2 linked regions of the Saccharomyces cerevisiae S288C genome follow. Changing the gene in region 1 together with any one later gene gives a genetic interaction. Each region holds a gene or a part of one and is shown on either strand. Other genes may lie near its edges.

Region 1 (12,691 bases):
AATGCTACGAACTGGATAATGATTCTGAAAGTGTTTCTAACTGTTTTGACAAGTGCACTCAAACTTTACTATCGCAGTATAAAAAGATCGCCTCCGATGTAAATTCGGGTGAAGATAATAACACAGAGTATGAACAAGAGCTGCTATACAAACAGAGGGAAAAATTAACATTCGTGTTTTGCGTGTATATGAATACGATGAAAAGAATATCAGGACTATCCGCAGCACGTACTGTATTTGGTAAATGTCGTAAACTGAAGCGTATATTAACACATGACGTCTACGTGGAAAATGCATATTTAGAATTTCAAAATCAAAACGATTATAAGACTGCTTTTAAGGTTTTAGAATTGGGTTTAAAATACTTCCAAAACGATGGAGTTTATATCAACAAATACTTAGATTTTTTAATATTTTTAAATAAGGATTCGCAGATCAAAACCTTATTTGAAACATCAGTGGAAAAAGTGCAAGATTTAACCCAGCTGAAGGAAATATACAAGAAAATGATAAGTTATGAATCGAAATTCGGTAACTTAAACAACGTTTATTCTCTAGAGAAAAGATTTTTCGAACGGTTCCCCCAAGAAAATTTGATTGAAGTTTTCACAAGTCGTTATCAAATTCAAAACTCCAACTTAATAAAGAAATTAGAGTTAACTTATATGTATAATGAGGAAGAAGACAGTTACTTTTCTTCTGGAAACGGGGATGGCCATCATGGCTCTTACAATATGAGTTCGTCAGATAGAAAGAGACTAATGGAGGAAACTGGAAACAATGGAAACTTCTCCAATAAGAAATTCAAAAGAGACTCAGAGCTTCCAACAGAGGTTCTTGATTTATTGAGCGTTATACCAAAACGTCAATATTTTAATACAAATTTACTCGATGCGCAGAAATTGGTGAATTTTTTAAATGATCAAGTAGAGATTCCAACAGTTGAGAGCACCAAGTCAGGTTAACATTACGTTAATAAATAGGTATATATGAATATTTATACCAACACATCTATTATAATAGGCGAACCTCTGTATGTAATTAAGTAAAAAAAAAACGATGTGACAGGATAGTTAAGGTGCCTCGTACATAAATAAAAACGGAAATAGTTAATTCTTTCAAAAATATGGCAATAGCCAAACTCATTCAGAAGGTACAGGAAACACTCTGTTTCTGTGCGTTTATATAACCATGCTTATAAAAGAAAGATTGAACAAAATATACATGAATTTATGAACGGTAATCACCGTTAATTGTTACATATTCATGTGATAAATCACAAGTCCAAAATTGTGCTGCCTGATCACCGGTTCCCAAGTCGACAGACACTTCCAAATCATTCAAAGCCAATATTTCAGAAGCCCTTGTTTCATCGATCTCCAATTGTGGCACACCATTAGCGACAAGCTTCAGCTCACGAGGTTCTGAATTGTCGGTAGCAATAAAGCTAACATTAATTTTGTTGACATCTAGAGATTTTAAGTCATTCAGCTTTGCATACCCGATCGCGCACAATATTCTTCCCCAATTGGCATCTTGCCCATATAGTGCGGTTTTGACCAACATAGAGTTTGAGATTGATTCAGCAATTATTTTGGCGTCTTCAAAATGCAAAGCATTTTTAACGTTAACAGTAACAAACTTTGTCGAACCTTCACCATCGCGAACGACTAACTGGGCCAAGCGCTGAGCAAATTCTGTGACCTGCAATTTTACTTGTTCAAAATCTTTAGAGTCTTCGTTAATTTCTTTGGTGTCAATAGCACCGTTGGCCAACATGCAAATTGTGTCATTGGTGCTCATATCACCGTCCACCGATATACAATTAAATGAACGGGTAGTAGCGAAAGTCAGCATCTTCTGCAACGCCTTGCTTTCAATAGGAAGATCTGTAACTATGAAACCTAATAAGGTAGCCATATTCGGACAAATCATACCCGCGCCCTTTGCCATACCTGTCAAAGTATACTCAGTACCACTAGGTAATTTGAATCTAGATGTAACTAATTTTGGGAAAGTATCAGTAGTACAGATTGATTTGGCTACGTTCAACCAAGAGTTAAAATCACTGCCGAACTTTTCTTCTCCAAAAATTTTATTGATACCAGTGCTGATCTTGTCCATCTGTAGTCGTTGTCCAATAACGCCTGTAGACATGACTAGGGTAGAATTTTTTTGACCAATTTTATCGTTAACCAAATCAATCATTACTTGGGCATCTTTCATACCAAGATCACCTGTGACCGAGTTAGCACAACCGGAATTGACTACAATAGCGTTGATGTTTTTACCACGAGCAGTTTCAAGGACTTTTTTCGATGTCAAAACTGGCGCAGCTTTGAATTTATTGGTCGTGAAAACAGCTGCTGCGGTTGAAGGACGAGATTTATTGGTATTCAAGATTACACCCAGGTCCAGGCTCCCGTTTTTTTTGACTCCAGATGCAGTGTAGCCTACTTCAAATCCTTTAGGAAAAGAGCCCGTCTTGGGCACGTATAATGCATACTTATCTATAAGCTGCTTCGAGCGTTGAAGCAATGTTGATGATATTCTCATGCTATGTTGAATTTTGGACTTCTTTAAATAAAGGGAATAGAAGTATTGCTGATACTAGCCCAAAAATCGTCACCTTTGTGCGGCGAGCCGAGGATGAGGCTTTTATATACTCGACGACTAAAGAAGTTGGCAACGAATTACGCAGTGAGTCATCCTACCTGTCCATCGCAGTAGAAAAAGACCTTCGCCAAGAAAACACCGTCAATAATGATTGCTAAGCACTCTCACTTAGTACTACTATCAACGCTACCTTCAATTTGGGTCTAACCACGGCCCTATTGCATCACTACTCTCTTTATTCTATGATACAGCGTGGGGGTGAAGCCAAGAGCCCTGTGTTTTACTTCAGCATACCAACAAAGTATAAGATTACTTTTGCTATACAGCGATGAAAAATGTATTTTAATGTTTGTAAATTTATGATCTACTGACACGTCTCAGACAGATCACATTTACAACACAGCATGCTATGACTATATACAAAACATGACTTTTCTTTATCACTAAAAGTAACTGCCAATTTATTGTCGAATCTCGCTATAGTTTGATTTTCACCAGCGGCGCGCGCAAGTATAAGCTAAGAAACAATGAATATAGATAGATAGTGATGAGCGTTGAGAACCGGGAAATGAGTAGAGACGTCCTTCTAAACAAAGATTTATACGGTTGAGACAGATTCATTGAGGAAAAGAGGAGAATGGTTAGCATGATCCATATTGTGGTGTTTTTGCTAGCAATCACAACCATGTTCGAAATACTTCCGCTAATAACCGTCCCCGTGACCAAGTACCTATCGTTATCGTCATTCAGAAACCACTATTATGGCCTGTTTGGCTGGTGTGTACGTGGTCAAAACCAAGAATTGATGTGCACGAAAATGAAGATAGGATATGACAGTACAGATGTCGACTCCTCCGGGCACGTTTTGACCCTGCCATCGAACTCAAAAGTGGTCGTCTCCAATTTATTAGTGGTTCACCCGATTTCACTGGCATTCACAGGAACGCTATTAATTTTAGCAGTGATTATCATGGTAACTCCACTAGGGGACTCACCTGAGATGTTATTGTTCACGGCCCTTTTTTCGCTGCCAACGTTCATGCTATGTCTTTTATGTTTTTTGGTAGATATTCTTCTGTTCATCTCCAAACTGGACTGGCCCGGCTGGCTAATGCTAGCCGCTACTATTAGCGTAGCACTTTGTTGTTCCATGCTGTGGGTCATGAGAAGAGTTGTGTCAGTCAAAAAATATGAATCGCAACAGTCAATTGCGCATGCGTGCTCAATGGAACAGTACTCAATTTCCGACATTTACCAGAGTAAACAGAACGGCAATAGCTCAGAATATGAAGTGGCTCCAACACATACAGATAGTCTGATTGCTCCAGAAGTGACATATAGAGGGTTCATTGAATAAGTAACATCATGTGTCATTTTGCACGTTACATCGGTTTGCCAATCGGCTTCCAAATATTTGTACATTTTTTTCTTCCTCCATCACTATCTGTTAAGGGTCTTAGAAAATGATTACTACAGTGCAAGAAATCAGCAAATGGAGAAACCTGTGCTTCATTAGGATGCAATCTCGCAAATGGTACCCAGTACTTAAAAAGACTCCTTTAGTAGCGGACGGTCGAAAGATCATTAAACATGCCGATAAAGTTCCTCATCCGGAAGAAATAATTCACCCATTTTACCAACCAACAGCAATAGAACAATTCACGGCATGCGCTACGGAATACAATCCTAGCCTGCTTGATGGCAAAAAAATTGCTCCATCACTGATAAAACACCCGGTGAGCCTAAAAACCATACTAGTTGATAGCAAATTAAAGTTTGATGATATTAGGGGAGTGAATAAATGGTTGATGGAATTCGTTGCAAGACGACAACATCAAAGAAATATTGTACTTACACCTGCGAGCAAAAGCGTTAGATCTTTTCACGTTCTGCATTTGTCTTCAACCGATATTGCCAAATTAAGAGGTCTTGAAAATATATTATCAGAGATTGAAAACACGAATGATTTGCAATCCAGGGTCGAGTCCGTAAATAATGAACTACAGAATATTTTTGACCGCGACAGTAAACAGACAAGATTATTTTGCGAGAATATACTGGCTTATTTGATAAAGAATTATGGAAACTCGACTGAAAAACTTATACTACTAATAAATGTTACTGAGATGCAATTATATTCACGTTTAGACCAAATGAAGGCCATGAACATTATTTTATATAATATCCTTTGTAAAGTGGAAGCAAATGAAAACCCACCGTACAGTCCCACATTGGTTACCGCACTAGAAAACCTATTGGCAGCGATCAACAACAGATTTTTTCCAGGGCGTTGCGAAAATTCATTGCACCCAATAGTAATTGAACAACTATTATCATATTTCATTAAAACCGGCAATTTGAATGAAAGCAAAAATTTTTTGGGCCATTTAATAAAAAAGGGTATTTTACCAGAGGCTACTATCATTAATAGATATTTGGAGGCAATTGATGTTCATTTCGATAAAAGCACTAAGATTTTTGATATAAGATCCAAATTTGCATTCATAGCAGATCTTGCACCCATAATAGAAAATTATGGAACAATAGACCTGTTCAAATTTTTGATACCTATGTGCCGGCATTTCGACGAATTGTGTTCTCTGCTAAATATTATTCGAAAATCCAATAACGCAAAACGGGCTGTGGATAGCACCTTACCTATTTTTATCAAAAAAGTATTAACATTTACTAAAGATCCAATGATCAACTCCGGAAATCTATCCACTGTTTTCAATATAGTGAGCCCAATATATGGACAAAACGTGCCCAGCGAATTCGTGGAGAAATTTATACTGTCTTTTGCACTTCAAGGAAATTACACTATGATGGCTCATATGATAGATACATATAAGATCAAACTAAGTCATAAATACCAACTACAAATTATTAGGGCTCTCAAAAATAGTGAGAGAAATCACGCGCTTAAGAATACGGGCGCTGTAGGTTATAATAAGGAATTTAAAAAGTACTTCATCGAGAAATATTTGAATTGCACTGAACGAGAAGCTTTACGCCCATAAATCGTCTATATTAAAAAAAAGGCAGCATAAGAGCAACTCACTGCAAAGGGAATTGCGCATTCCACGCAAATAAACAATGTAAATAAGAATACGTACTGTAACTGTGTCACACTAGCGGGTTGTTTTATCATAATTGTTTGGGATTAATCCTGAACAAATTTTCTATATATAAACACTGGTTCGGAATACCAATGAAGTATACATATTCTGGTTCAACAACTGTTTCTATTCAAAAACTTTGAATGTTTGAAATGCGCTACGTCTATTTGTTTGCAATTTGTATTAAGTTTGTTTCAAGCTCCGAACTAGGAAAAATCAACAATCTGCTGCAAGGAAGATTGATATACACAGATAATTCCGTTGCGACAAATGTATTAGAATCCAAATTTCCATTCTTGAAATCAACATGTGTTAAAGACGCACTAAAATTATTTTTGCCACAATGTATTGCAAATGGACTTGAATCCATTGACGCTGAAACAAGGGTAGAAACGGCCATTAAACTTTCAATATGCGAGTTTCAGGCATCTGGCTTGGGCGAAATACCAGAAAATTGCATGGTTGACGACCTAGGATCAATGATGGATTGTATGTTTGAACTAGAATCATCTTCACAGTGGTGGACAACTTATAGTGGAAATTATCAGCGACTATCGAGTATTTGTTATGAAAATCTTCTTCCTTTTGAAAAAGAACAGATACTGAAACTTTTTCTAAATATCACTGAACTTTATGATTCATTTGGGGATGATGTCGATACTAAGTTAAATCATCTGATGTTTCAAATGGAGCAAGATTCTCAAAATTTTTTGGACGATCTGGCCAGGATGTTCCGCAACTATGACAATGAACTGCGAAATGCGACCGAAAGCAATCGAATAATCTTAGAAAACGACCTCTCATTTTTTAGAAATAAAGTGAATGATGTACTCTATGAAACTTCCGAACAACTAGAGGTCCAAATCATAGAGAAGAACAGTCAACTAATGAATGAAGTTGATACCGTCCATCATATTATGAGCGATCTAGCCGATGAGCTTGCTAAAAATGACATAAAATCTAAGATAAATGACTTGAAGGACGACAGCCTGAATAATTTACAGGACCTAGTGGAAATGTCCAACGACGTAAAAGAATATTACTCTAGAAATAACAAGTTAGTTAATACCGAGTTGGAAAACTTCTCGATGGGTTTAAAAAAACAGTTAGGAGGCATGTCAAAGGATCTTTCTGAATCACAAATGGAAGCTATAGAGCTCTTGCAAGGGTTCAATTCCATCCTTCATGATTCATTGTTACCATCCATGACGGATGAGATAGTACCTGAGATGACGAACTTCAAAAATACCTTACTACAAGAATGGACAGCTATAACATCTACACTAAATGGAGATTTTGCTTTATGGAATGAGGAGATTTTTTCAACTTTTAATGATATTTCAGAGAAACTGAATGGCACAAAAAAAAAATTAGACGACATTGAAATCAGAGTCTCACTTGTCCATAAAAATGTCATGACAATGATGAGGGTATTGGATTTTATGTGGAAAACTAGTAAAATGATTATAAGATGTGGGTACCTTGCAGTCAAGAATAAATACTACTGGTTACTGTGCTCCGTTGTGTGGATTTGGTCAAAATACCGTACGTCTCGAGTAAACGTCAAAATGATTCCTATTAAACGCTATTACCAATGGGCAGCTCTTCTACTTTCAATTTATCTAGGAGCTAAGACTGGCTCATTGATTGATTTTTAACATTACCGATGTAACAATATATGAAAGCCTATATATACATAGATGTATAGGTATATAGCCGCATTCAAAGTCTAGCAAAATAAATATTCTTTAAAAATTCAAGGACACCGGATCATGGTGGCCATAATACGGGCAAGTGAACCTAGAGAAGGTGTCCTACGTCACTATCCAAGTTAATTTGCTTAAGAGAGTTCGAGTGCAGCACCTACAGCTTTATCATTGAAGACGAAGCAAAAAGATCTTGAGATTCTATATCATGGGCACAGGTAGTATTCATTAGGTAGTAGTAACGTATTAAACAAGGCCATACTATATTTATAACTCATGTTCAAATACAACCGCTCACTCTGTAGCAGCGCTTTGATAGCAAAGTCTCAGATTCGTTTTTATAGATTGAAGCGGGCGCCATTGAATTATGCCTCCCATATACCTGAAGTTCTTAATAAGACCATCATAGGGCCAGACGAACCAGAAAAATGTCTCATTTTGAAAGGAAAAACATCAGAGGAAATCGAAAATAATCTTCTCAGTAATAAGAAATTTCAGGAGATCAATCCTCTTGATACTATCCAGGAAACGTTCATTCAATATCTGAAATTTTGTAATGAAACTAACTTTAAAAGAAGTAACAAGAATTTAAACAGATTAAAAAAAACCTTAGAAAGCAAGGACTCTAATAGCACCGTAAAAATTAATGCAGTTTTCAATTATTTGCTCGAAGAGTGTGATTTAGAAATCAAAAGATTGAACACGACCGGCCAAACCCAGGTATACAATGAAGAGAAAGGAAATGAAGATGACTTAGAGCAATCCATAATGAACGATATTTTCCGATCAGCACAAGAACAATTTGAAGATCAAGAGGGCCATATACCGTTAAGGAGTACATCATTTTTACTGGAGATTTTGAAAAGTTTTAATGAACGGTTTAATGGCATAATCAAACCGAAAGAGTCAATAACAGAAATGGTCACATTCAGCCAACTTGCTCAAGCTTTTGAAGTTGTTAAATTGATACCAGTGCAAGAAATGAAGGAGAAAGGGATTTACTTGGTCGGAAATTTACTTTATGGCACAGGGAAAGTTCGTTTAGATCCTATAAATGAGTCATTCTATATTGAATCCCTACTAGTTTTTGGAAACTATAAGGCTGCATACAGTTTATTTATTACCAATAAAGACAAAGTAAACGAGCGCTGGTGGAATGAACTAGGATTAATGATCACATTAAGGTCTAACCACTTGAGAAACTTCAGGAAACTTTTAGCCGAGACAGATGCAAAGTACTCAACAAAGTATTCTTATTTGAGCCCAAGAGTTACCAAATTGAGCATACGAAAATATTTGTCGATTGGCAATGTTACTGAAGCTAATATACTGACTGATCGATTTATTAAGTTAGTGGAAGAAGTTGGAATAATCAGAATGAAAGATGAGCAGGAGGAACTTCCCACGGGAGTTAAAAATTTTCAGAATGAGAAACATGCAACTGAGTTCTTAAATGAACTAGAAATACCATCGGATCATGATTATATCAGCATTGTTGATTTCCATCTTTATAAGAGAAATATTCCCATGGCGGCTCAACTTATCAGCAAGTACATGGAAATACCTGGAACGACACAAGAAGATGCCGCATTTCTACTTGTTAAAACCAAGCTAAATATGTTGAAAGATTTTGAAAAGCTACGAAACATTTTTGCTCAAAATAAAGATTATGTAGTGCCTGAGAATAATGTGAAAATGTTGCAAGAGGCATTTGAGAGCGTTATTACTAAGTATAACACTAATTCTCCAATATACAATGAATTGCTGTTTGAGAATGTTTCGGCCTTAACAAAAAGTATTGTATTAACTGATTTTCTGGAAGAGTTCATTACTAAACAGGCTTCTGGACAGTGGATGGAATTAAACAGTGTGTCACGTTCCAGAAAGTTTAATGGCTTGTTGAACATACTTCTCGGTACAGGTGAAGAAGAAAAAGCATATAATATCTTAAAAAAACTAGAAGAAGCCTCAAAGAAATCAAAAACAGATCCAGATTTACTCTATAATCAGTTTTATTCGGAAGTTAATGCATATCATTACGCTAAATTTGTTGAATTTTATAGTCTTCAAATTCAAAATATGAAGGCACAAAATACGCCCTCATTTAGAAAAAAGGAATTTAAGCAGAAAGTGAAGTCACTTTTAAAAAGAATGCAGGAGTCAGAGGTTATCCCAAATGCTGTTTTTTTGAGAGAAATACTCAATTTTTATGATAGCATGTATGACTTTAATTCAAGTTTTGAGATCATCAATCCGCTACTTGAATCCAAACAACAGGTGAGCTCTGAGTCTTCATTATCCACCTCAAACCCTTGCCGATTTTACAACCGTCGCATCATAACAAAACCGCTGTACCACAAGATTTGGTCTGTGTATTGCCATTATTATCATGTTTTACAAAATAATTCTAGGATTTTATCGAAAAAGTCGTCCATTGTAAAGAAATTAATAAAAAGGCAGATAAAGATTCACCCAACTTGTCACCCAAGAGTATTGTTCCAAATGACGGCAGAAAATGGTGAAATTTTGCCAGACAAAACTTTTTCTAAATTAATTGTGTCCACGTTCATGAAAAGCGGGGATTTAGAAGCAATACCTGCCATATTAACGTTTCTAACGAAAAAATTTGACTTGAATATTGATTACGATTTGAGTATGTATATTCTAAAGGGTTTGAAAAGACAATATTTACGAGATATTAGTAACATCAGTAAAGATGCTTGTGAGTACAAGTTACGGAAGGCGGAGCTAATGAATAATGAGTCAATCTTAAAAAACATTCCACAGGGTACAAATCAAGAGAATACAATATCCCATTTGATCAGGGAGATTTTGATCTTTATAAAATGGAAGGAAAAAAGTGATTGTTCTACTTTCTTGATGGTAGAAGATGCTTTTAAAGAATTAGGAACAGAGTTTACTTTACTCGAAGAATTAATAGAAGATGTAAATAAGTTAAAGATAAAAGCCTAAAAAAACGGATGCATTTTATATAATTTTAGCTATACGTGTACATATTTGTAATAAAGTTAAAAGAGGAGACTGTTTAGCTTTGTATTTATTTTTTACTTAATTTCATCCATTTAGGTACTCTATTTAAAGTCTTTTTGATACTTGTAGCGTTATCAGAAGGGCCCTGTGGATTGGATTTATTTATCGTATTAACTGATGGGGTTGTCCTCGTTTCGTGTGTGATTTTTTGTGCGTCTTCCAAAAGATGAGCCTTTATTAATGGGCCATTAGAATTTGAATTTGTTTCAAAAAGCAGCATTGTTTTAGAGCCAAATTCCAGGTCATCCAGTAGCTTCTTATCGTCTTTAGCCAAGGGTTTGAAAGGATGAGATTGGTTTAACGTAAAAGGCATGTTCTCATCGATCAGGAACTGCGACACGACGTTATAAACTGTACGCATGTCTTCATTGGGTTTGAATGCTATTTGAATATGGCTTCTATCGGGGAACTTGACTCTCAGCAAACACTCAGATATAGCCTTATTTTTCTTTGGCAAGTTGTTGGCTGATTGCTCTCTAAGTCTCTTTGTCAAAATAGGACCACCCAAAGTACCAGCCTTCGATGATAACATTTTTTGGTATTTCTTGGCTTGTTCTACTGTCAATTCATAATCTTCTTCATCCTCGATTTGATCCTTGATAACTGCTAATGGCTCATCCGAGGGCAAAAACACAGAAGGTTTATGTAGTTCGTGAGGTGGTAGTGAAGCAACCGTTTCCGGGTTCGTCATCGTAGGGGGAGTTTGTTTTGGGTGAATAGCGCTATTAGCGCTAATGCCCTCAGAATGAGATGTATTATTAAAAATCAATCTAACTGACGAAGGCTCCTGAATCCCTAAATTTTCGAGAGTCAAATTCTCATCCTTAATTGTTTTGAACTCTATTATCTTGGAAAAGACCTGGATCTTAAAATCATCTCCCGCAGCGCCGCTCATCTGTCGCAAGATAGGGGCAATTGGTTGGTCAGATGGCATTTCTTTAACCACGGAATCTCTTCCTGGGATTTGAAACCGTATTTTGATCGTATTGAATGGAATATCTTCGCGGTTGGTCTTATTCGCCACCGGAAAATTACTACTTTTAGATAATTCTAAGTTGACACCCGTTGGTAAGTTTAGAAGCCTCCATGGCAAATCTAATGGCACCGGTTTATCCAAATGTATCAATGACCAGTCGTTTGACGAGGTGTGCAGTTGAAAGAATTGTATGGATTGGTGTAACACATCGTTTAGTGTTGAATTCAACGAAACTTTACATTTGAAAAGTTGGAAGTTATACTTCACGGTAACCATAGGCATTGTATTGTGCGCTTATTAGTCTGCCTTGCTATTCTTCGCAGTACGTAGATTTATCTTAGTTTTTGCATTTTTTGGTTTTCTTTTTTTTTTGCCACACATAGTACAATAAAAGAGAACTTGAATCTTTGAAGAAACGTCTAAATTAACATCGAAGATAGAAGACAGGGAAACATCTAGGATTGCAAGAAATAGTGCTGAAATTTTGTAATAAAGTTGCAAGAAATAGCATCTAGCGTTTTATAAGGCGTACATCTTTCTTGGCAAGAGTTCCAAGAGAAAAGAGGAGCAAAACAGCGGTTGAGGCGCCCGCTATCTTGAATATTATACAGTTTCTTTAAAAACGCTTGTACAACACTGCATAAACATGGACAAATTATTGAAATTGTTTCAAGATATTTCCCATATCATATTCCAATAGCGTTACTCTCTCATCGCTTATTCTGGAATCATTATTTTAATAAAGATAACTCACACGATATACGTGTACTGAGCTGACCTTTATACCTACCCTTACCTGCTTATTCCTGATAAAAATGTTCGTGCAACTAATTGTTTGATTTCTCTTGCGGCCCGGTTATTCCGGAGTTGATACTTTTTTTCTTCTGTCTTAATTACGTTTTTTTCCTCTAGACTTTTTTGATCTGGTACAATTGAAAATGTATAAATCAACTGGACCCTAAAAATAAAAAAAAAAAACGCCCATTAGAAAAGAGGATATATTGAACAAAAGATGTTGAAAGAGCCCTCAGTTCGCTTGCGGGAGGCTATTATTGAAGGCAATTTACTTATAGTGAAAAGATTATTGCGACGGAATCCGGATTTGCTAACCAACATAGACTCAGAGAACGGATGGAGTTCATTACATTACGCCTCATACCATGGAAGATACCTTATATGCGTGTATTTAATTCAGCTGGGGCACGACAAGCATGAACTAATAA
Region 2 (17,546 bases), on another chromosome or scaffold:
ACTCATCCCTTATAATGCGTTTCCCAGCAACCTTATCGATAGAATGGAGGGGAAATCGCATCCGTTCCACTCCTCGGATCGATACTAACTTCCGAGACGTTGCATCAAAGGCCAAGACATGGCATTAGTCACCCTTGTTGCAACGATAGACGCATACTACGGACCCCTCAAACCTCCCTACCTGCCCGTCGCTATCGCATTAATTTTCTTTTTTTCCACTATTTTTCCGGCCCGCCACACCTCCGACTACAAGACGCCACATCTACGTTTTGTCACACAAAATCCAGGACAATAGCCGTCTGCAAGGCACCAAGGTTTTCAGCAGTTGCTTGTTGCTGCTGCCTGTTAATCACATCAAACCCACTGCAAGGGCAGTCGATGGGTCTGTAAACGCCTTAGCAATCGTTGTTGAAGAAAGAGAGCTCTTATCATCATGGGGTGCCCATCATTTTTCTTTTTTTTTCAAATTTTGGGCTATTCAATGAATTGTTTCGACTATATATGGACAATCATCGGAAGCTGTGTATTCTTGGTAAAAAGTTTTCGACTGTGTGGCAGAAAATAACCGCAACAATTATATAACGTCACAGAACACATGAGTACCATTTATAGGGAGAGCGACTCGTTGGAGTCGGAGCCCTCGCCAACGCCAACAACCATTCCTATCCAGATCAATATGGAAGAGGAAAAGAAAGATGCTTTCGTTAAGAATATTGACGAGGACGTCAATAATCTCACTGCGACTACTGATGAGGAGGACCGCGATCCGGAAAGCCAAAAATTCGACAGGCATTCCATACAGGAGGAAGGTCTCGTTTGGAAGGGCGACCCTACATACTTGCCCAATTCTCCATATCCTGAAGTGAGATCGGCGGTGTCCATCGAGGATGACCCCACCATCCGCCTCAACCACTGGAGAACGTGGTTCTTGACCACGGTGTTTGTGGTAGTTTTCGCCGGTGTTAATCAATTTTTTTCCCTGAGATATCCATCGCTAGAGATCAACTTCCTTGTTGCACAAGTTGTTTGCTACCCAATTGGTAGGATACTGGCTCTCTTGCCCGACTGGAAGTGTTCTAAAGTGCCATTTTTCGATTTAAACCCGGGCCCATTTACCAAAAAGGAACACGCCGTGGTCACAATTGCCGTGGCGCTTACTTCCTCTACTGCATACGCTATGTACATTTTGAACGCCCAGGGAAGCTTTTACAACATGAAACTTAATGTCGGATATCAGTTCTTGTTGGTTTGGACATCTCAAATGATTGGTTATGGTGCTGCAGGTCTTACCAGAAGATGGGTCGTCAACCCTGCAAGCTCTATCTGGCCTCAGACTTTAATTTCAGTGTCCTTGTTTGATTCGTTGCACTCGAGAAAAGTTGAAAAGACAGTCGCAAATGGTTGGACGATGCCCCGTTACAGGTTCTTCTTAATCGTCCTTATCGGATCGTTCATCTGGTATTGGGTACCTGGATTCCTCTTTACCGGTCTGTCCTATTTCAACGTTATCCTATGGGGGTCGAAGACAAGACACAATTTCATCGCTAACACAATCTTTGGTACTCAAAGTGGTCTCGGTGCGTTGCCAATTACATTTGACTACACCCAGGTTTCCCAAGCCATGTCCGGCTCTGTTTTCGCCACACCATTCTACGTCTCCGCCAACACCTATGCATCAGTGTTGATATTCTTCGTCATAGTGCTGCCATGTCTTTATTTTACGAATACCTGGTATGCCAAATACATGCCCGTCATTTCAGGTTCTACTTATGACAACACTCAAAACAAATACAACGTAACAAAGATTCTTAACGAGGATTATTCCATTAATCTTGAGAAATATAAGGAATACTCACCGGTATTCGTTCCATTTTCCTATCTTTTGTCGTATGCTTTAAATTTTGCCGCTGTTATCGCCGTTTTTGTCCACTGCATCTTATACCACGGTAAAGATATTGTCGCCAAGTTTAAAGACCGTAAAAATGGTGGCACTGACATTCACATGAGAATCTACTCCAAGAACTATAAGGATTGTCCCGATTGGTGGTATTTACTTTTGCAGATTGTCATGATCGGTTTAGGATTTGTAGCAGTGTGCTGTTTCGATACTAAGTTCCCAGCTTGGGCATTTGTTATTGCAATATTAATTTCCCTTGTAAATTTCATCCCGCAAGGTATCTTGGAAGCAATGACTAACCAACACGTAGGTTTGAATATTATCACAGAATTGATCTGCGGTTATATGCTGCCTTTAAGACCAATGGCAAACTTATTATTCAAGCTATACGGATTTATTGTCATGAGACAAGGCTTGAATTTGAGTAGAGATTTGAAATTAGCCATGTACATGAAGGTTTCCCCTCGTTTGATCTTTGCCGTTCAAATCTATGCCACTATCATATCAGGCATGGTTAACGTTGGTGTCCAGGAATGGATGATGCATAATATCGATGGCTTATGTACCACCGATCAACCAAATGGCTTCACTTGTGCTAATGGTCGCACGGTTTTCAATGCTTCCATTATCTGGTCTTTGCCAAAGTATCTTTTCTCATCAGGGCGCATTTATAATCCGCTGATGTGGTTCTTCTTGATTGGTTTGCTATTCCCACTAGCCGTTTATGCTGTTCAATGGAAATTCCCTAAATTTAAATTTGCTAAGCACATTCATACTCCTGTATTTTTCACAGGCCCAGGTAATATTCCACCAAGCACACCTTATAACTACTCATTATTTTTTGCAATGTCATTCTGCCTAAACTTGATAAGAAAAAGATGGAGAGCTTGGTTCAATAAGTACAATTTCGTCATGGGGGCCGGTGTTGAAGCAGGTGTGGCAATCTCCGTCGTCATCATCTTCTTGTGTGTACAGTACCCAGGTGGTAAGCTCAGCTGGTGGGGAAACAACGTTTGGAAAAGAACGTATGATAATGATTATAAAAAATTTTATACCTTAAAGAAAGGTGAGACATTTGGTTATGATAAATGGTGGTAATCATGAAAACATAATAATAAACCTGCAGAGGTTCATATCAAGTTTTAATTCAAAATTTGGCACACGTAATAGCAAACTTTAGTTCATATTCTGTAATATTAAGAAATTATTTTCTTTTCTGTCATCCTTTCATATTGCTTAACTTGAAATACTTTATCTCAACGTTTAATTATACTGTTAATAATGATATTTCTATATTTTAGAGCACATTTTGGTCGAAACATTCAAAGCGACCCCTGCAATATTTAGCGGAGGCATCTCATCCGCCTTATTTTTGTAAATTAACGATCTTTAGCGCATGCCAAGTGTTCGATAACAAATTCCGACTTTAAGAAAAAACGGGCACGAGCATACAATAAAAAAACTTTTAAAATTTATACCTCCTTGAGGTGTTCTATTTTATGATAGATCCGTATTTCAGATACCAAATGTTATATACACTTTTTTAAGCTTGGATTTTTTTCTGAATACACGGACCTTACAAATGCTATAAAAAAAAAAAAGATTCTGTAACTTGTAAAATTAAGGGCCCTAAAGGGCCATATCCACCTCACATTTCACTGTGATATAAGTAGGATATTTTGACTTCAATACTTAAATTTACAAGCCAAATATTTTATTATGACTTCAAAAAAAAAAAGGCTTCTAGCATTCAGAAATAATGCTGACTGTGAAAACAACTATAACTACATCAATATATCCTTCCCTCTTTCATGACAAATAGTATGTTGCTCTCGGGTTCATCCAAAATCGTTATATCGTCCAACGGATTTGATTTCATCATCAGTAGGTCAGCAATGAACCCTGGCTTAATCTGTCCCAATTTATCGCCTAATCCGTTCATTTCGGCAGGAGTAACAGTTGCTGAGAGCAAAATCTCTTGTGTCGTTTGAACTTTCCCTCTAATACGAAACTCTTGCGTTTGATAACCATATAGAGGACCCAATAAATCTGAACCAAAACAAATTTTAACTTTTTTTTTCTGGGCAATTTTCATTGCATCAATTCCTTTGTAAAGCACCTCTGTATTTTTTCTACTATTTTCAGGTCCCAAGAATGCACTAAATTGATCAGAACCCATCACTTTGTAGGTAACTAGTGTTGGAGTCAAGTAGCAACCCAATTCTGCCATAAGCTCTGCGGTACGTTCATCTAATAAGTTTCCGTGTTCGATACCCTTAACACCTAACTTGATACAATTTTGTATCGCTTCCGCAGTGTAGGCGTGTGCTGTTACGTATGTGTGGTAACTATTTGCGACATCTACAAGTGCTTTTATTTCGTCGTCGCAAAATTGTTTGTTTGATATTTTGTCAGTTGGAGAGGCCACACCTCCACCACCCATAATCTTAATAAAGTCTGCACCTCTTCTAAACTCTTCTCTGGCCGCTTTGTAGCATTCGGGAACACCATCTGCTACAACACCAACTTGACCAAAGTGGCATGAACAGCTGTCAAAGGCACTAGCAGGTAGGGCACCAGATCTCAGATCGCCATGACCACCAGTTTGGGAAATGGCATGTCCACACGTAATTAATCTGGGACCATTCAAGGATCCCTGACGAATCTCTGCTTTCAGAAAGCCTTCTGCACCCCCACAGTCTCTCACTGTTGTGAAACCTCTTGCCAGAGCGGCTTCCAAAGTGTATCTTATTCTGAGTAATGCAACTGACTTTGGCATCAGCATTAACTTGGTCAGATCAGCCTCTCCTGCAACCGACGCAATGTGGACATGACTGTCGATCAGACCTGGAGTGACATACTTACCGGTGCCGTCAATAATTTCAAAGGCAACTTCATCAACGGTTACCGGCTTTTCAGAACCAAATTCGACCTTGGAAATGACACCCTGTTCTATGAAGATGTAAGCTCCGAGGAGACTGACACCGCTTACCACATCTATCAAATTAGTGTTACTTATACAGTAATTTTTGAGTGGCTCTGGGCGCTATGGTGCCACCAAGTCGGCCAGGGACTTGTTCATTCCTTCATTGACATCGATTTGATAAGTCGTCATTTTTATCTCGGTTAATATACTGTTTCGATGTCCCGTCAATTGGAAAGAAAAGCTACGCTACATACCAGCAAATATGTTGCTTTTATATTCGCTCATATCGGAGATCAATTACCGACATACTCTTCTCTATTCAACAAGTTCTCCGTTCTCCGTCAAGTTACGTCGTTTACGAACGATAAGAGGCTGATCAAATAGGAAGGAGATATTGTCGGATCATTTTTTAGTATGGAGATAATGCGTCATGCCGACATGAAGGCACCATCATCTGTGAAGTGTGTCAAGAAAAAACTGGCGAAGTTAAAGCTAGATAATCCGAATAAGAGGGATAGTAGAAAGGAGGTGAAGTAAAAAAATTATCACCATTTTTTCTCTATTAGTAATGAATTCTTCAAGGACTTTCAAAAGTAAACGTCACAAAAATTTTTATTTCTCAAGAATCTTGTTTATCGAAGGGTCTTTATTGAGAAATGTTAGAAAATTGGTAACTTTTTAAGATCAGAGTTAACAGGCAGAAAAAAAACAGGGTCTTTTTGTTCAGGAACCCTTTTTGGCTGAAAAAAAGAGCGCACAGAACAACGCGAAAAAGAAAAGGAGGAAATCGCGTATCCTTATGGCGTCGCAAAATTGCAATTAGTTAGCTATGTAATCTGTTTGGAAAGCTTCCTCAAAATTAATAATGGCGAAAGCAATATAACATCACTATTACATCAGGAATAGCTGTTGCCATACGATAAGGGGGTAATGAACAGATTGCTCATTAATGTCTATATTATGCATAATACGATTTTAATGTTCGGAATCTGTAGATGGTGCTAACATTTTACATGAACCAGCGAATAACCAGACTGGACTCGTTTGACCAAAAAAATTTCTGTTGGTAGTCTGTGTAGGTTTTCACAAAGAATAGTATAAATTGATACGCAACGAAATTAGTGGTAAAAATTTTTGTTTACTTTACGGCTTACACGGGGCCGTGGCTGATACTGGGAATACCATATCGTTTCGTTCCAGTGCCGATAAAGTGGCTGAAAAAAATTTACATATTTTTCTTGAGAGAGGTCTTTAACTGGTCTCACAGAGACGGTTAATCAAATGCTCGGAAACAGGATAAATGAGGACATCTGCACAATCGGGTGTTACCGCCTTATCTTGTTAGCAGTGGCTATAATCACTCCAGAATATGCCGTCGTGTTGGTGGCATAAAAAATTCTTTTTTTGCCATATAAGAATATCCAAGTTTAGGAATGACGCAAATTCGACACCAGGAATAATTAACGAGTTAATTCTCCCGACCCTCAAAATTTGAATAACAGTGCCCTCTTCTATCTGTTCACCACGGCACACAAACGGTTTGGAAAGATGTTGCTTTGGGTGTGAAAACTTTATTTATCACTGCTTTGCCATCACAATGTCTGTGATTTGAAGACCAGCTACTTCTCATTTAAAATAATATCTTATACGTACCATTGCTTCCTTTTCTGTAAGATGATCAACTACACGTCATCCTGAAAAGCAACATCACTAACAACTTGAGGCTTTAAGTCCAAACTCAATGTTGCAACAAGATGGTTTAAAGCAGCTCTTAATCAGTAGAAGCGAATATCAGCAGTAGACTTTTTGGCACTAGAAAATAAACTTCTTGAGTAAATTCTAGAGATACCTGCCTAGAAAACCCCCCTGAAGAGCCAATTTAGGTAGGAATTGTAATAAAGGTCTCAAGCTTGTAGGAGAATTATTTTTTTAACCCGCAGCAACAGTATTGTCACTTTCTTCTTTTACGACGTCATATTTTATAAAACGAATCTTCTCAACCTTTTTTAAAATTCCCAGTTGTCTACTTACAAATAATGACGTTCGTGTAAGTTTAGAGACTATCGGCACGCTCTAAAATGTGACTATATCGATATCGATTTGGCGGTTTTCACCAATAACAAAATGGGTGAAACATAGCTGAATTTTCTGCAATTCTTAGAATCCTATTATGAAATATTGGGGCCTTGAGCATTAAACCGACACCCGAACAAATTGAATATTTCGAAAATTGTTCTTTTCGATGTCATTTTTACCAAAAGTTAGATAGGAGATGACCCAGCGGTTACCTGTATTTCAGAGGTTACAACAAATTAAAGCGGTCTTATATTACTTTAGAAGCACCAACTTACATATTCTGGATAAACAGTATTTCTAACTTACTACTAGTTTAGTAACACATGTTCGTTACAGATAAGCCATTCAAAGATAATTAAAATCAGTTGCGCCATTATTAAAGGCCGAGAAATATATCAAGGTTTTCAGCTTAAAGGGATTTGCTGACTTTCTTATGCACTAACGCGCCAACATCGTCCTTTTAAAAATTAAGTCAACTCATCGCTTAGCGCTTAGCGCTAATGCTGGTCTTCCTCGAAGAGAACATGCGTTCGTATTGAGATATAAGTAAATATTGTGGTAATTACCGGAGTTTCATTGTTAAAAAAGAGTATGGAATTATGAATACAGAATAGGCCAGGAATTTTCATGAGACTATGGGAAATTGCCAAGGGAATCAATAATTCCACATAATGTAATTTTTCTTCTTCCTTTCTATGTGCCCTCGTTTATTTCCTATTACATTGCTACTCCTTTTATTTCAGCTTTTATTAATTCTGAAATCATTAGTAATATAAATTCTGGGTTAGGAAATCATAATTGATCTCATTCCAATGCACTAGAATACCTATGTACACACGAAAGTGCTTAAGTTATCATATGACGAACAGAGAATATCATATGTTCCATTTTTATTTTTCTATAAACAAAAGTTGCGTATTATTGTATTTTTTTGTTGTGTTATGCAATAAGCAGAGGCTACGATGTATTAATTAATCGGTTCCTCAAAAAAAAAAAAAAGTGATCTATAAAGCGTTGACGATAATCAATACTTTGTTATATTTTGGTAGTCCTGACGGGTTTCAAAATAAACAAAGTTAACAATCCGCCTACTAATTTGATTTGCTTTTTTTCATGGGCAGTAACATCAAGAAAACACTTTGTTGTTAAGCCCATCTAAGTATCATATTACCAAATCTTCTGTGAGTAAAATGATATAATAGGACTCAACGTGACTGTCAGTCTTCAGTAGCCCTGGTGTTTAATATATCGAATCAGTCTTAGGAATTAAAAAGCCCCTATATTACAGAGGGCATTGGACATTATTTATCAATGTACTTTGAAGTTTGCTTGCGTGTGTTTTCACCGGTCTAAAACATTCTTTTGTAGAAGGGTTTCTCGTCATGCTGTAATTTTTCGTTATCATAATCACCATCCCTTCTAGAAGCTGGTACCCAGGATTCAGATTTCCAAGGTAATACACCGTCCATCCACATCTCATCAACTTCTTCTAAAGTTAGACCTTTTGTTTCTGGAACAAAGAAAAAGACGTAAAAATATGAAAACGCTAAGCAACCCATGAAAACGTAACCGTAGTAGAAATTAATTGCCGAAGTAATAAAAGGAGTGAAAAACCCGATTAGGAACCCCCACAATAAGTTGGCCGCTGTTGCAACGGACATACACTTGGATCTCACCCTTAATGGAAATGTTTCAGAAATAATCACATAACATACAGGTCCCCAGGTGCAGGAAAAGCAGAAAATGTAAAAACACGTGAAAACAATCGTACAATTACCAGCACCTTTAGATGATGGTTCACTTTTACCGTTCGGATATAGTCTTGTGACGCCAACGGAGGCGTAAATAACCATGCACGCCGTCATGGTGGCTGCTCCAAGTAAAAGACATCTACGACGGCCCAACTTATCAACAGAATAAAGTGAAAAGAAGCAAGAAGCAAAATTCACAATACCCAAGACAATTGAAGTCTCAAAAGAGTCATTCATACCGACAGATTTGAAGATAGTAGTACCGTAGTAGAAGAAATAGTTGTCACCGGTTAGTTGCTGCAGAGAGTTAATCATGACTGTCATCGTTAAACGTTGAAAAACTTTAGTCTTTCTCGAAAATAATTCCTTCCATGAAGCAGTTCCCATTGCTTCTTCTGCCTCCACACCAGCAACAAGAAGATCAATCTCTGCAACCACAGCAGGATCGTCAACACTAAGCTTGTTCGACTTGGCAAAAGAAGCTTTAGCTTGCTCAATCTTACCGACTTGCACCAAAAACCGAGGAGATTCCGGAACAAACGTCATACCACCAATCATAATAATAGCCCATGCAAAACATAGACCAAGCGGAACACGCCACTGGACAGAATTCGAGTAAGTCTTGGTACCATAATTGGTACAATAACCCAAGAAAATTGCGAAAGTCACCATCAATTGCCAACAAGCTAGCAACGTACCTCTGATATGCTTTGGCGCAGTTTCCGAAATAAGCATCGGGGCAAGAACACTAATGGAACCAGCACCTATACCAGCGATAATTCTTCCAATAAAATACTGATACCACTTATCTATAGAGGCAATTTGAATGACAATACCAACCATATAAACGACAATAACTATAATCAAACCCATGCAGCGGCCGTAAATATCACCCAATTTAGACAAGAAAAGACAGCCAATGGCGCTTCCCACATTGAAGATGGACACAATCAACCCAGTTCTCACATTAGATAAGTAGTAAGTGTTCTTGGAATGGCTATAATTACCAAATCTTCTTAAAAAATCAGTCTGATTGACGAAACCAGAAATCGTACCTGTGTCCCAACCGGACATAAATCCACCGAAAGCCATACATAAACACATGATAGAAACAGTAGCATAGGCTGAAGCAGGCTTTTCTGGAACAACAACTTCCTCTGCCTCTTCCCCATTATACTCGGAAAAGTCCTTGTTTTCCTCCACTGTAGGTACTGACAGATGTGAAGAATTTTCTATCGAAGGGCAGCCATCATCTTCTGCCTCTTCGAAAATCGGTTCTTCTGGCAAGTTGGTTTTACGATCAGTCATGGTTTTTGCTGGCGTTCTGAGCTAACTAAAAGTGACTTATAAAAAATGCAATCTAAAATAAGAATGAAACAAAAATGGTCGTTTAAATATATCTAGTCAAGCTTCATCCCTTACAATGGTTAGCGATGATATTCCGTCGTCCAAAAGATTACGACCATGCCAGTTCATATTATTTTACTTAAGAGTTCATGTCTTTCATGCGAAGAAGCGTTCGGAAATTCCAAAACTTCTTAGAGTTCAGGAACAGGCCCGGTCGCGGAATTATTCTCGGGATAATTCCAGCCGCTTGGCAGGTAGGCTAAATTACACATTTCAAGAACTTTCTCCGGCCTTTTCTGTGAGATACGTTTATAAGTTGCTGCAGCAGGATGCTCTAGGCTGCTTTCTCTGGAATTTCTCTCCTTCTCCACATACCTCGTTGTTGAATCCCCGCGGAGGTGATATAATAAAGTTGCGTGAAAGCGTAAATGCCTAGACGGAGAAAAGAAAACGGGGAAATAAACTTTGCATTATTTTTCCTCCGTGGAGAATCCTCGGAGAAACACGGGAATATTTGAAACTATTTGCAACATTGTCCATTGAAATAGTCACAATCCTAGAAGCTAATTCACCGGAAAAAGTAATTCACACTTAAGAATTGTATCTTCCATTACCGCTACGGTAATTGATACGGTTTTGAGGAGTAAGTTCATAAACGTCTGACGAATTATAAATTAGGACACTTGTTCACATATCTTGGTGCGAAAAACTACTGTTTCTTGATGACTATATAGAAAGTGCTCAATATTGAAAAGAAAAACATGACGATCATCCATAATCCTAAATGGTGGAAAGAAGCCACCGTCTACCAAATTTATCCTGCTAGTTTCAAGGACTCCAACAATGACGGATGGGGTGATTTAGCTGGGATTACCTCCAAACTTGACTATGTCAAAGAATTAGGTGTCGATGCGATATGGGTGTGCCCATTTTATGACTCTCCTCAAGAAGATATGGGTTACGATATTGCCAACTATGAGAAGGTTTGGCCACGTTACGGTACCAATGAGGATTGTTTCCAAATGATAGAAGAAGCTCATAAGAGAGGTATCAAGGTTATTGTTGACCTGGTTATCAACCACTGTTCTGAAGAGCATGAATGGTTCAAGGAGAGTAGATCTTCTAAGGCTAATCCAAAGCGTGACTGGTTTTTCTGGAGACCTCCAAAGGGTTACGATGAGAAAGGTAATCCAATTCCTCCCAACAATTGGAGATCTTTCTTTGGTGGATCTGCTTGGAGATATGACGAAAAAACTGGTGAGTTCTTTCTGCATGTGTTTGCTCTTGGCCAACCTGATTTCAATTGGGAAAATGAAGAGTGCCGTAAAGCCATTTATGACTCCTCAGTGGGCTATTGGCTACGTCACAACGTTGATGGCTTTCGTATTGACGTAGGCAGCATGTATTCTAAGGTTGAGGGCCTACCCGATGCTCCTATCACTGATCCTACAGTTCCTTACCAAAAAGGAACTGAATTTTTCATAAATGGGCCACGTATCCATGAGTATCATAAAGAAATGCATAACTACATGCTCTCGCAAGTTCCAGAGGGTAAAGAAATCATGACTGTTGGAGAAGTTGGTATCGGGAATGAAGACGACTTCAGAGTTTATACCAGTGCCAAAGAAGGAGAACTAAATATGATGTTCAACTTCAAGCACACCTCAGTAGGTGAAAACCCAAAATGCAAGTACGAACTTATTCCCTTTACTTTAAAAGACTTTAAGCTGGCTCTTGCTGAAAGCTTTCTGTTTATCGAAAACACAGATTGCTGGTCGACCATCTATTTGGAGAATCATGATCAACCTCGTAGCGTTTCGCGTTTTGGCTCAGATTCTCCTAAATGGCGTGAGATTTCGTCCAAGATGTTGGCTACTCTCATCATTTCATTGACTGGTACTGTTTTTATCTACCAAGGACAAGAATTGGGTATGCCCAACTTCAAAAACAGAAAAATTGAGCAAATCAAATGCGTTGAAGGTACTGGTACATATGCCGCCATTAAACGTGATTATGGTGAAGATTCTGAAAAGATGAAAAAGTTTTTTGAAGCATTAGCTTTGATCTCTAGAGATCATGGGAGAACACCATTCCCATGGAGTGCTGATGAGCCTTCTGCAGGTTTCTCGAAGGATGCCAAACCATGGATTGACATGAATGAATCATTTAGAGACGGAATCAACGCAGAAGCTGAGTTAAAAGATAAAAACTCAGTCTTCTTTTTCTGGAAAAAGGCCTTACAAGTTAGAAAGGAGCACAAAGATATCCTTGTTTATGGACATAACTTTCAGTTCATTGATCTTGATAATGACAAGCTATTCATGTTTACAAAGGACACAGATAACAAAAAAATGTTTGCTGTTTTCAATTTCAGTAGCGATAATACGGACTTTTCAGTTCCTGATAATGAGGCCTCCTACACCATGTTTTTTGGCAACTATGCAAACTCAAATGGTGATTCCCGCACCTTGCAGCCATGGGAAGGAAGACTTTACTTGTTGAAGTAACGAGCACATTTAACATAAACGTACTGATCTTTCGAAACAAATAGTTATGCCGATATTTATGAATAATAAACTTGTATATTTCTTTTTACTTTTGCTTTTCATATGTGAGCATTGGATACTTAACTTACGCTGTACGCTATTTTCAATTGCAATTTATATATGTATATAGAAGACAGAAAATTCACTGAACCTTTTTCCGAAGAAATATAAAATAAAAAGCAACGTACAGCAGAAAAATAGAAAACATCATTATTACTGTTTCTATTGTCTAAATTTAGCCCTTTAAACCCCATCATCATAAGTACTAATTACCACGAATTCAATAATTAGTAAATACATTCGACTATTCTCACCCTAACTTTCGTCACTTTATCTTAAAACACTAGCTAAAAGTCGTTTATTATAACAAAACTAAAAATTTCGTAGTATGCACGCCTTATTGCCCAGTATTTTGTTAACTGTATGGATTGTACTAGTAAAAAAAATCTTGACGAAATTGAGTATAAACAAAATTTTAAAAAGCATAGTGCCAAATCAACAGATCTTAGTGAGGTGCAGGCCTTGTTCTTAACAAAAGCAAACCCCTCTTTATATATTGATATATAGGTGAACTAACTCAAATCATGTAAAGCTTTTCCTAAAGGAGCTGTGAGACTCCATTCCGAGAAAGTAACTTTCAATCCGCCACGCTCAGGTGTGCAAGCCATTGGTCCAACAAGGTAATGGTCAGAAGTTGGAAATGGAGCCAAACGTACTAACGGCCATGTTTTTTTATCAGAGGACACCTGAATCCTCAAAACGCCCTTTTCAACAGTAACACGAAGCCAGAAATCGCGAGCATTTCCGCCATAAACAGCAGTTGACCAATCTGATTTTCCATTTGTCAAAACACTGCTTAGCATTGCGTGGCCATCAGAAATTTCTATGCCAGCTTTGAGCCAATGTCCATCATCTATACGAACCATGATACCAGCCTGATCATAAAGACTCTCGTAGCTTCCCTGAACACGGACTTGTGCAGTAAAAGCACTACCTGTCTCTACTCCCAAAAAATGACCGCTATCACGGGTAAATCCGTAAAATGTTTCACGCCAAAAGTCAGTTTTTTCATCTGTTTCCAGAGTGACTTTTCCTGCCTCTTGAAAAACAGATTTTGGCTTATTGAGCCATGTTCCTTGCGATAATTCAGTATTCTTAGATTCGACCATTGTGTTTGGTAATTTATCTTGTTTGATGGAGAAGCCGTCACTTGGACTTTTGTTAATATTAGGTCAGGTTAAATACCTAGGAAATCTGTGCGTATAGGATCATCCCTTTCTAACTCCATCGAAAATGTTACTTGTTTTGTTCGAGGCTATTTGATGACCCTTTCATATGGACGCATGCAGGTGGCCATATTTTCAGTTTAAAGTTTCTCCGCATGTTAATTTGCGCTGAAAAATTAGAACGGTACTTATTTCCCCGAAAATTTCTCAAATCCGAACATAAAGCTACCAGCCACGCGTTTTCTATACGGTTGGAACTTGAGCAGTTTTACATAAGTTGTAAACTATAATTTTCTCCTCGAAGATAGATTATACCAGAAAGAAGCTACTATACACAGTCGAGTTGAGAATGAGCAACTTAAACCAGAACATATACCAATAATTAATAATCTCTCTGCGTATTTAGTCGACTAAAACTGAACTAGCTTTTTATTTATTCTTATAAGAAAATACGGTACATAATCATAGAAGACAACACTTGCTTTCGATAATTCCTCCAGAAAGTGGATCCATCATTTTCGATAGTTTGTAGTTGTACTATCTTTTTCAGTGATCTTTCTTATCACCTTACAAGGATTACCTGCTGCCACTACATTTTCTGGTATGTCACGAATCACAACACTACCGGCGGCAATCACGGAGTTTTTACCTATATTTACTCCAGGAATTATTGACACTCCACCTCCAATCCATACATTGTCTCCAATGGTCACAGGCATGGCATATTCTAATCCTTGAAGCCGTCTTTCCACGTCAATTGGATGACCTGCCGTATAAATACCAACATTAGGGGCGATAAATACGTTGTCACCGATGACTACCTTGGCCCCATCCAATATAACAAGATTGTGATTGGCGTAAAAGTTGTCTCCGATATAGATGTTACTTCCGTAATCACAGTAAAACGGCGGTTCAATTATAAAGTTATCAGTGCAACTACCAAGTAATTCTCTTATTACCTGGCTCTTTTTATTCTCATCAGCGGGGCTAAGGGTGTTGTATTCGTGCAATTTTATTTTAGTCTCTTTTCTAATTTTCAAAAGATCTGGATCATAGTTCGCATCATAAAGCTCACCAGGTACTATATTTTCTAATACGCCCATTTTTCTCTAGAAGCCTTGTTTATATGCTTATTAGAATGCTTCTCTATGTTCTTGTTGTAGTACGTGAGATCTCACTCTTTATACTTGCGTCTTTTCGAAGTAATGCTAAATAGTGCCTGGCCCAGCGTCACAGGGTGTTTAACGAGCGCGTACTATTTGTGAATTTTTTTGGGCACATTGAAAACTTTAATTTTTTAAGTTATTCAGGCACGGCACACTATGACAGGAGGTTACGTCGGAGAAATAGCGTTATGGCCGATTGTGAGAACATTTAAGAAATTTCAATCCATAACAATAAAGTGGCAGTGTCACCTAAAATATTAGTACCAACTTGCCCAATTGGCAGAAGGAAAATAAGGATATCAGGCCACCGACTTGGTACTATTTTTTTATGGTAAATGTGTACTTTTACTAAGCTTAATTTGAAACAGACGTCATATGAATGTTTCTGGGGCTACTTGTTACAATTCTCGGTCCGCAACAACTGAACTCTGTACTGTTCTGTCTCAATGCTTGGTTTCTTGAATGGAATTTCACTCCACCCTTCGGAACGTTACAAAATTTATACATTTTAAAAATTATTCATGAGAGAAAGATGCTATAGTAATCTGTTCACCCTGTCAACTCGTGTAGCTCATGTTTATCATATAATTTCTAGTTCTATAAGGCATAACAAATAGTCCGTTAAGGATTAAGGCGTAAAAAAGTAAATATTGTATATAATAAATAATTAAGTTCATGTATTTTTTTCCAGTTACTAAAAACCGGAAGATTAGCTGGAAAAGAACCTCTTGTAGATTGGTCTATCGTCATGGTCTATGGCGTCAGCATCGTAATCTGCGGTTCTTCTTTCTGGTGGCACCCATGAGGCTGATTTCCATGCTGGCACACCTTCCAGCCACATAGTATTCACCTCCTCCAGCGTCAGGCCTTTTGTTTCTGGGACAAAGAAAAAGACATAAAAGTATGCAAAAACCAGACAGCCTAAGAATACATAACCGTAGTAAAAGTTGATTGCCCCGGTAATGAATGGGGTAAAGAAACTAATCAGGAAACCCCACATCCAGTTTGCAGCTGTTGCGATTGCCATTCCTCTTGATTTGACCCTAAGAGGAAACGTCTCTGAGACAATAACGTAACAGCCGCCTGCCCAAGTGGTGGCGAACGAAAAAATGAAGAACATAGTAAACACAATCATACAGTTACCGGCGCCCTGAGAAGTAATGTCTTGGTGACTGCTTCCTTGAGGCCACAACTTTGTCACACCGACGGAGGCAAACACAGCAAAGCAGCATAGCATAGAAGCAGCACCCCACAATAGACACGTACGGCGTCCAAACCTCTCAATGGTGTATACCGCTATGAATGAAGAGAAAAAATTAACCACACCGATAATGATCGAAGTCTGAAAGGAGTCCTTTAGACCGACAGATTTGAAGATGGTGGTGCCGTAGTAAAAGAAGTAGTTATCACCGGTTAATTGCTGCAGCGATTGGATCATCACTCCCATGAGAACACGCTGAAAGACCTTTGTTTTAGTGGAGAGTAGTTCAGACCATGATGCGTTACCTGCCAGCTTTTCAAGTTCGATTCCCGCCTTTATAGTGTCATATTCTGCTAACAAGGCTGGATCGTCGACTGAGACTTTGTTGGATTTCGAAAGTGAACGTTTCGCTTCCTCATCTTTACCAACCTCAATCAGGTAACGTGGTGATTCTGGTACAAACATCATTCCACTAACCATGAATGTAGTCCAGGCAAAGCAAAGACCAAGGCCGACTCTCCATTGAGTGGCGTTGTGATAGTTCTTGGTACCGTAATTGGTACAGTATCCTAGAAAAATACCCATCGTACACATCAGCTGGTACAATTGGACCAGGGTTCCTCTGATTTGTTTGGGAGCAACTTCAGATATCAACATTGGGGAAAGGACAGCAATGCCTCCCACTCCTAGGCCAGAAATAATTCTTCCAATGAAGTATTGGTACCACTTGTTTATGGAAGTTATTTGGATTAGGATGCCTACAACGTAAATGGCAGTAACTGTAATCAATCCAATACGACGACCATATATATCACCGACTTTTGACAAGACAATTCCGCCTATGGCGCAGCCAATGTTGAATATTGAGACGATCAAACCCATTCTTACTTTCGATAAGTAGTAGGTTCCCTTGTCATTTTTTTGACCGAACCTTCTGATGAAATCAGAAAGGTTAACAAAACCAGAAATGGTACCGGTATCCCAACCAAAGATGAAGCCGCCAAATGCAATCATCAAACACAGGATTGCGACGGTGGTATATGCAGAGAGGGGTTTTTGAGGTAAGTCAATAGGTGGTTCAGTGGCATCCAGGTTGAGGGAGTTTTTAGAGTCATTATGCTCAGTTTTTACAGATGGTGCATTTGCTACTGAGTTAGAGTTAGACTCGGTAGTGGATAAATCATTTGCGGATGTATTATTAACACCGGACATGATATTGGGTAAGATACGAAAGCTTTTAGTACTCAATTGTGCAATGATTATTTTTTCCAACTCATACCAAAAAAAGAAGAAGAAAAAGATAGGAACAACAGTGTTCTTTAGTTACACAGCTGTGACATTATATACCTTTATTTAGCGAAAAAGAGGAACTGAGAAAGATGAGCCTAGACCTTAAGAGCTAAGTAGTAT

What was found.
Region 2: mutations in KAR5 (region 1) and HXT8 together harm fitness more than expected from each alone (negative genetic interaction), as found in Saccharomyces cerevisiae (one large-scale study listed by BioGRID).

Annotation. Positions count from the first base shown.
Region 1 is NC_001145.3:393,824-406,514, forward strand, and holds KAR5 (Kar5p), read left to right. Parts: upstream 1-5,878; coding exon 5,879-7,393; downstream 7,394-12,691. Other genes in the region: cleavage polyadenylation factor subunit RNA14, read left to right, coding at 1-965; ARG7 (glutamate N-acetyltransferase), read right to left, coding at 1,231-2,556; RIM9 (Rim9p), read left to right, coding at 3,254-3,973; AEP1 (Aep1p), read left to right, coding at 4,080-5,636; SOV1 (Sov1p), read left to right, coding at 7,718-10,414; UBX4 (Ubx4p), read right to left, coding at 10,500-11,750; AVO2 (Avo2p), read left to right, coding at 12,481-12,691.
Region 2 is NC_001142.9:19,299-36,844, reverse strand, and holds HXT8 (hexose transporter HXT8), read right to left. Parts: upstream 9,959-17,546; coding exon 8,249-9,958; downstream 1-8,248. Other genes in the region: oligopeptide transporter OPT1, read left to right, coding at 596-2,995; YJL213W (uncharacterized protein), read right to left, coding at 3,687-4,682; oligo-1,6-glucosidase IMA5, read left to right, coding at 10,759-12,504; REE1 (Ree1p), read right to left, coding at 13,116-13,712; YJL218W (acetyltransferase), read right to left, coding at 14,282-14,872; hexose transporter HXT9, read right to left, coding at 15,645-17,348. UniProt on the Saccharomyces cerevisiae protein: Probable glucose transporter.